2 linked regions of the Oreochromis niloticus genome follow. The protein of the gene in region 2 purifies or fractionates together with the protein of the main gene of each other region. This does not show direct contact. Links are inferred from orthologs where the notes say so. Each region holds a gene or a part of one and is shown on either strand. Other genes may lie near its edges.

Region 1 (3,752 bases), on a different chromosome or scaffold from region 2:
TATGACAGTGTTGTTTATTAAAATAGCATTAACAGTTCGAGCGTAGTTACAGTCAACAGTGAATATAAATGCTAAAACTGAATATATTGAATAGTGTTACCCCCCTCCACCATTAACAAATGGTTCAGCCCATAGCAGGACCGGCTTTTTTCTTGTTTTCAGTAGCAAGCCATGCTTATGATTGTGCCAGAGCACATTTTGAACAACACCATGGGAATTTCGGATTTTACACAGGTGGTTGGATGTTACACTCTGCAAATGGAAGCAAGGTGAGTGTTATTAACTCTCTGTGGTCCACGGGCACGCTGCACCTCCAAATCACATGACTATGTTAAGCTGACATAGCAACAAGCTGCAGCCACGCTGAGTCTCTGTTTCAACCCAGATTGAAAGTTCGCACTTCAAAGTATATACATTTTAATTACAGGCCAGTAAATCCAGGGTTATGATTATATATATAAGCCACGCTTTTTTCTAAATACTGTCGTCATGTTTTTGTGTGTGTGTTTTAAGCGTTTTCTAAGGACAGCGCGAAAACAGTAAAGAAAGGAAAAAAAGCCACCTCTTTCCTATCGAAAATGTACCATGTCGAATTTTTAAAAAGTCAACACGTAGGATTTGGTTGTTTAGGAAGAGGGAAAGTTTTGGGAGTGACGGTAATGGCAGCGAGATAGAGAGAGAGAGAGAGAGAGAGAGAGAGAGAGTTTAGATGTGGGAGATTTGTGACGTTTAGTGTGGAGTGTATACTTAGTGTGTTGTGTTGTCTTGTGTAGTTGTTCTGTTGTGTAGTCGTTTTGTTTTGTGTGTCAGTGAGGGCACTAATGAACACAAAGGCACATTGCAGTGTAAACACTGTCACTAAGTAGAAAACCAGCGGAGTGATACACCTCCTGTTGTCAGGCCTGCAGGTTTATCTTTAATTTTGCCACCCCATTTGGTTTCTCTGCCACCCTCATGCCACCCTAAGAAAATTTCTCTAGATCCGCCCCTGGTGAAACGCCTTTAGTTAGCTCAAGAAAAGATGTCGATCCTCCATGTAATACCTTCAGGAAAACAGGCTTTGTTTTTCATCATGACGGTGATCCTAAACACACTGCCGGTGAAGTGAAAGACACACAAGTGAACACCATCATTCATGCACTGCCCTAAACATTGTGTAAGAAGTGTGGGATCATCTCGACAGAGAACAGAAAACAAGACTGCTAACGTCCAAAGAACTGTTCTTCAAGAAGCCTGGAGAACTGTTCCTGCTTCAAGAAATCACCAGAAAGCTTGCTTAAGCGAGTTCAGGCTTTTGATGTACATTTGCACGTTTTAGATTACTGCATCTATTTCTCTAGTAAAGTATAAAGAAATGAAGGTGAGTCGAAGCTTTTGCACTGTACTGTACATGTGTTGGATATGAAGTCATAGCCATTGTTCCTCTATTCTACGGGGAAGTGTAATGTCCTATGAAATGAGGAAACTGTGTGCGTGTGTGTGTTTGTAGGGCAGAGTAGGGGGTGGGGGGCTGGGAAAGGGGCGTGGAATAAACCAACATCACAGGCTATTGCAGCTTCCCATCATGCCATTTAATCTCCGTTTTTGGTCTGTTTGACCGTCGCCCGGGTTGCCTTCATCTGTCCTGTCAAACCGGCTGGATCTGCTGTCTGTGTCCGCCAGCGGGATGAAACCGACATAGAGATAACGGAGCAACCCCTCCACGGTCTCCTCCTGTCCACAAGCGGAGCTTTGCTCCCACTCTCCTACCGACGGAGATATGAGACATCCACTGCTCGATGCAGCCCTGACATTGTGGCTATTTGTAGAGGTGAGGTGTCCTCCGGTATTACTGTGGTATTAATAGAGCTGTGACGGACAGGCACGGGTTCTGGGTGACGCCGCTGGCCGTACCTTTATAAGGCTTTCGCTCGTGCCTTGTTGTTGTGCCGGGGCTGACTGTGATGTAGTTCCGATACGTTAGTGCCGACAGATCAGACCTAACAGAACCCGGCATACCCCGGCTCAATGAGAAAGGACCTCCGCTGTATGTGCGGCACTCTTTGTCAACTTCATGAACGGCACAACGAGAGACGCTCGAATATCTGAAAAAGCGCAACGTTAAGCTGGGATATAGCAACAAAATCAGAAATGTCAAAAAAAGGCAAAGCCAGTGGGATTGTGTTCGTGCAGAATAGAAGAGTGTAGAACAGTAATATGGCTTTTACCCCCACATGTGCACATCGGATTGTTTGAGTGGGTGAGCTACCTGTGATTCTGCCATCCTTTGTCTTTGTGCTCAGACCCCTATAACTCCTCAGTAGGTTACTGGGCCTGTAGGACACACGGCAGCAGTCTGAATCAGTGTACACGCAGTCATATTCATATTTCTTTTTGTAGTGTTGGTCTTTTCCTTTGATATCCTCTGATGTACCCTTCTGCACTTTTTGGGGCTATAAGGATCATTTAAAAAGAGGTGAAAACGAGCTCTAGTTTAATTTTACAGCCTCTGAATGTAGCTCACTCTTTCTATCAGCCTTGCATTGCTGACACTCCTGTCTATTCATGTAATATTAACCCTCATCATTACTATTTTATTTCATTCAGCAGATGTAGTGAGCACACATTCATTTTGAATTCAAGCAGGCTGCCTAGATGGAGTCAAGCCCTCAGACCTTGTGCTGCTACTGCAGTGTCCGCTTTGAGGACGAGTTCTGACAGCTTAGATGTTTAGTGTCACTTATAATGCCGTTGACTCACAGAAAGCATGCATTAGACCCTGGGACATGCTTCTTCGGGTAATAATAACCCTACAAACAGTGGTGCTGTTTAGTTTTCTTCACTTATGTACAAAGTGATAGCAGAGCTGTAACATTTTGGTTCTTAAGAAATCCCTGAAAATGGAAACAAGCAAACTAACTTCCTGCTAAGTTCTAGAAATTGGGCTGTTTTTAGCTCTCAGTGATGCCAGTGTTTGTTTGACATTGGGAACCGGAAATGGCAGCATTGGGAAATATTTATAAAATAAATATTAGACAGCAGTAAGCTATATATCTTAAAAGTACTGTAAGTGGGTTTGAACACTGTTTTGCAACAGAGGCAGCAACTAATGAATCCTGTGATCTTACTGGCTTTCTGTTAGATGAAAGCAGATTAGGAGAAGTCACTGTTTCACTGTTTGCTGGGCTTGAGAACACTAGTAAAACACAGACTCATACAGTGTCTGTGTTTTACACCTGAAGTGTAAATTCACCTGAAGAGATATTAAAATGTCCTTAAAGTGGAAACTAATTCATTCTCTCATTGTGGCCTGTGGGGCCTCACTCATGTCATGGTGGCTACTTCAGGTTTTCTTTTCTTTTTTGTGTGATCAGCGCTCTTAGAAGGTTTAAACTTTCTGTATGAGCTATGAAGCCTGAAATAAATTAGATTTACAATTATCAGGGACTGTTGATTAACATTATAGTGGTGCTTTGGCAGTCAAACCAGTTCTAACTGGTTCTTTATTATGACTTTTTAAAATTTTTTACTTTGATAGAAAGGACGGAGTGAAGGGTATGACGCACCGAATATGCTCCATGGCAGGCTCACACCCAGCCTGCTCAGCCAGGTGAACTATAAGCACATGGAGGCGACTGCTGTTTTGATTGAGTTTGGGGGCATATTCTTAAATCTGAAAGCTCACTTTGAATGTTGTTTTTTCTATTAAAATTAATATATTATGGGTTTCCAGTATTATTACATATTTTATTTGTTGTCCCGAGTCTGGGTTT
Region 2 (3,752 bases):
CCACCAAGACTAAAGCATGCCATGTACTGGAACCTGCTGGTACACCAGCATCATTGTCCACAGTGAAGTGAGTTTTACATCGCCGTGGCCTGAGAGGGTGCAAACCAAGAAAGAAGCCACTGCTCCAAAATCGACAAGCCAAATGCTTTCTGGATAAAAGAGACAAAGATTGAGCGTTTTGATCACAATCCCCAGAGGTATATTCTGCACAGTAAATGTGATGCTTTTAAACCTGAGAGCACTGTGCCAGCTGTCACGCATGGTAGTGGTAGTATCATGTTCTGGGGCAGTTTTTTTGCCAATGGTGCTGGTACAGAGGTTGGATAAACTCATTAGGAAGGCCAGCTCTGCTCTGGGATGCACCCTGGACCCAGTGCAGGTGGTGGGAGACAGGACTCTGGCCAAAATAACATATCTGATGGACAGAGTCTCCCACCCCATGCATGTAAATGTTGCTGAACTGCAGAGCTTCTTCAGTGACAGACTGCTGCATCCTAGATGCATGAAGGAGCATTTCCGCAGGTCCTTCCTCCCTGCAGCTGTCAGATTGTACAAACAAAACTGCTCCCAACAAACATAGAATATCAGCGCTGTAACTTGCACTATTTTATCAACCGATTCACACTACAACCTGGGTTTGCCTCTTATCTGTATTTCATTTTATTTAATTTTAATAACTGTACAGTACTCTGTTTTTGGTAACCATTGTCCTTGATGTAAATATGTAAAAAAAATTGTGTATGTTTCTGTTCCGTCTCCTGTTTGTTTGTATATGTGTTTTTCTTGCTGCTGTTACAACAAAATTTCCCCTTGTGGGACAATTAAAGGATTATTCTATTCTATTCTACACTGCACAAAATGGACTGAATAATGAAGAAATACTACATACAAATTTTTCAACTTCATGTCAAACCAGCCGTTGCTCCAAAACACATCAAAACGCTTTTTTAAACAGATAAAGCAAGCTAACATTAAGGCTCTAGAATGACATTCCCAAAGCCCCAAAGCCTGACCTCTAATCTATTTAAAATTTGTAGACTATGTTTAAAAGCCAGGTCTGTGCTAGGAACCCAACCAATTTAAATGAACTCTACAAATTCTCCCAAGAAGAGTGATCAAGTATCCAGACAGGAGCTTGTTGACAGCTACTAAAAGCATGTCATTGAGCTGTTGCTTGCTAAGTTTTATATATTGTACATATTTGAGCCTGGAAGTAGATTTTTAACCTTGTGTGGATTTGAGAAAATCCTAAATAAATTCAAACAGTTCAAAGAAATCAGTAAATGCCCCACATTGACTCCATGACTCCTCATGTCTAAGATGAGTAGATATTCTGGTCGATATTGTCATGATAGCATCACAGCATCACACACTTGCTACAGATTTTTCAGCTGCACATCCAAAAGGTACATTTTTAACGCATTATCCCATTACTGAGGAGGGTTGTGACTTTATATTTCAGCGTAAGTGTACAGCATGGCAGCTAGTGGATAGTGACACTACGGCAGGATAGGTCGAGATGACAAACTCACAGACTTATCAAAGACTAACAACAATTAGCACAAACCCTACAGTGAAATGAGGACGGCACACTTTATAACACAGACTTTACATTTCAGTTGGCAGAGGTTTTTAACAAGTGTAGCTAGCAGGCTGTGTTAGCCAGATGATAATAGAAATGGCATGGCCCTGATGTCAGTAGGTGTTAGGACTGAACTCATACACAGACATGCTTGCTGATAGCGTTAATAGTGAGATCTCACTTACTTTGCATAGTAGACCCAACCATCTTTAGTAGATCTCTCCTCCCATCCAGGTGGTAACTCATCCTCACTATCTGTATCGTCCATACCTGCGTACTTCAGAGCTGCCATAGCTTCCAGTGAATGATGAAAATCAGAGAGAAATATCTGCTCTGGAGAATGAATGCAGATGTCAGAGAGAGCAGAAACACGGACACGGCGATCCTCCAGCACTTCCGCAACAACACGATGACGACTGCCGAACTGCATTTTGGGACATTGAGGCGGCAGACCATATGCTTAAGGATCCGGCTTTTTGTGATTCAAATCGTGCTTCTGTTATGGCACGGAAGCTTGTTTCCGCCACCGAAAAAAAGATGGCAGCCAGAGCGAAGTCGAAATTTCGAGTTACTGTCTCAAGTTTAATTTCGTCGTTTTTTTCCATAAGCTTAAAGGCTTTATGTTAAAGAACACTGGCTGGGTTTTCTCTCAGCCTTTGATCTGGGTATATAAATTGTAAGGCTAAAGTAGGAGAATAATGTGGGGAGATGTTGGAAGTGGGCAAATAGAGCTGTTGATTTATGTAATCAGATAAGTCAGGCCCACTGACAAAGAAACAGCTAAAGTTTTCTGATTTTTTTTTTTTTAAATCTCCTCCCAACCCTTTTATTCTCCACTAATTAATCACCTTTCCTGTCATAACTACGCTTTTGTACACATTTCAGACATCTATCAACCAAAGAGGTCACCATGCAGTTGGGCACGTTTTACCAGTATTACCTTTTCTGTCTATTGTAATAGAAACGTACCCTACAGACTATCCAAGAGGGCCAGAGGAAATCTGAACAGATGACAGGGCTAAACCTATTGGGGACAAAGGTAGCATTAAACCACCTCATTAACTAGTCAACACAGTGGAATGACAACAACTAACAAAAGCGAATTAGTTAGAGCTATACTGCCTCTAAATGTTCACACATTTAAATAAAAAATAGATGTAAAAATGTTTCAGATATAGCTAAATGTGTTCTGTTTTTTTTTTTTCCCATGCCTTGAAATTCGACAACTGCCAATGTGACCTGACCAGCACAGCTGTTCCCCATCAGCTCAGTGGCTCTTTTGTATGCAAAATCTGTGCCCGTCTCTTGCTTCTCTTGTTCCTGCCACTTGACCTGCCTGTTGTGTCTGTTAACCAGTTTGTGCACTTGTTACATGTGTCTTTTCTGTCTGCAGAGTCTATGTTTTCCACAGAATGGCTGCAAAATTTCTGTGGAATAGCACACCGTTGATAAATATAACTGATAATAAAAATGTAAAACAGCACAATACTCACATAATCTTGTTTCATAAAGGATGATCCAGTACATCTTATAAAAGGAGATAAAGAAAAGGAAACACTAAAACACCTTGCCTTTGTTTTAAATGGCCACCACTTAGACATTTCCATGTCATTTCATGTGGAAACAAAAGCAAAAAAGTAGAAAATAAAAGAAACCTAAAACATCTGCAAGTTGGCCTTTGTGCACTGGATGATTTCATAGTGGCACAGCCTTGAGCCCTAAAGGATTTAGCAGGACTGTGCCTCAAAGTCTGTGGATATGGAGACAGGGATTAGGCCGTATAGACTCAGAACAAGGTGTTTAATCCCTGTTGCAAGTTTCAATATGTTTTGGTCAAGCTCTGGTGCCACACCAACAACAACACCAAGAGCAACAATTAGGATTTATAAGGACCTATTGGCAGGGAAAGAGAGATTTTGCATGCCCGTTGCCTGAAATGCTGCAGTTTGGAAGGAGGCCCGTGTTGCCCTAGCCCAGACTGCACCAGCCAAAGAATGTCCTGCAAACAGTTCCAGGCACCCAGCCTCTAACCAAGATTCAGGTCAGAAAATGTGGTTGTTCTCTGATAATATCTAGATGAAATTTCCCAGGACCATTTGAAGAGGCCATCACCCATCTTTCAGTGTTTCCCAGTTAAAACGTAGATCTTGTAGTGCACTGTTCCCTGTTT

The links. The genes of interacting proteins can lie anywhere in the genome.
Region 1: the proteins of wwox (region 2) and vopp1b purify together in Homo sapiens (affinity purification with mass spectrometry; 3 studies listed by BioGRID and IntAct, with this or other methods). This does not show direct contact. The link is inferred for Oreochromis niloticus from reciprocal best matches to the Homo sapiens genes WWOX and VOPP1.

The regions. Positions count from the first base shown.
Region 1 is NC_031974.2:30,754,744-30,758,495, forward strand, and holds the start of vopp1b (vesicular, overexpressed in cancer, prosurvival protein 1), read left to right. Parts: upstream 1-1,504; 5' UTR 1,505-1,759; coding exon 1,760-1,810; intron 1,811-3,752. UniProt on the Homo sapiens protein: Increases the transcriptional activity of NFKB1 by facilitating its nuclear translocation, DNA-binding and associated apoptotic response, when overexpressed. May sequester WWOX in lysosomal vesicles and thereby regulate WWOX role as tumor suppressor.
Region 2 is NC_031972.2:56,177,142-56,180,893, forward strand, and holds the start of wwox (WW domain-containing oxidoreductase), read right to left. Parts: upstream 2,828-3,752; 5' UTR 2,013-2,827; coding exon 1,768-2,012; intron 1-1,767. UniProt on the Homo sapiens protein: Putative oxidoreductase. Acts as a tumor suppressor and plays a role in apoptosis. Required for normal bone development. May function synergistically with p53/TP53 to control genotoxic stress-induced cell death.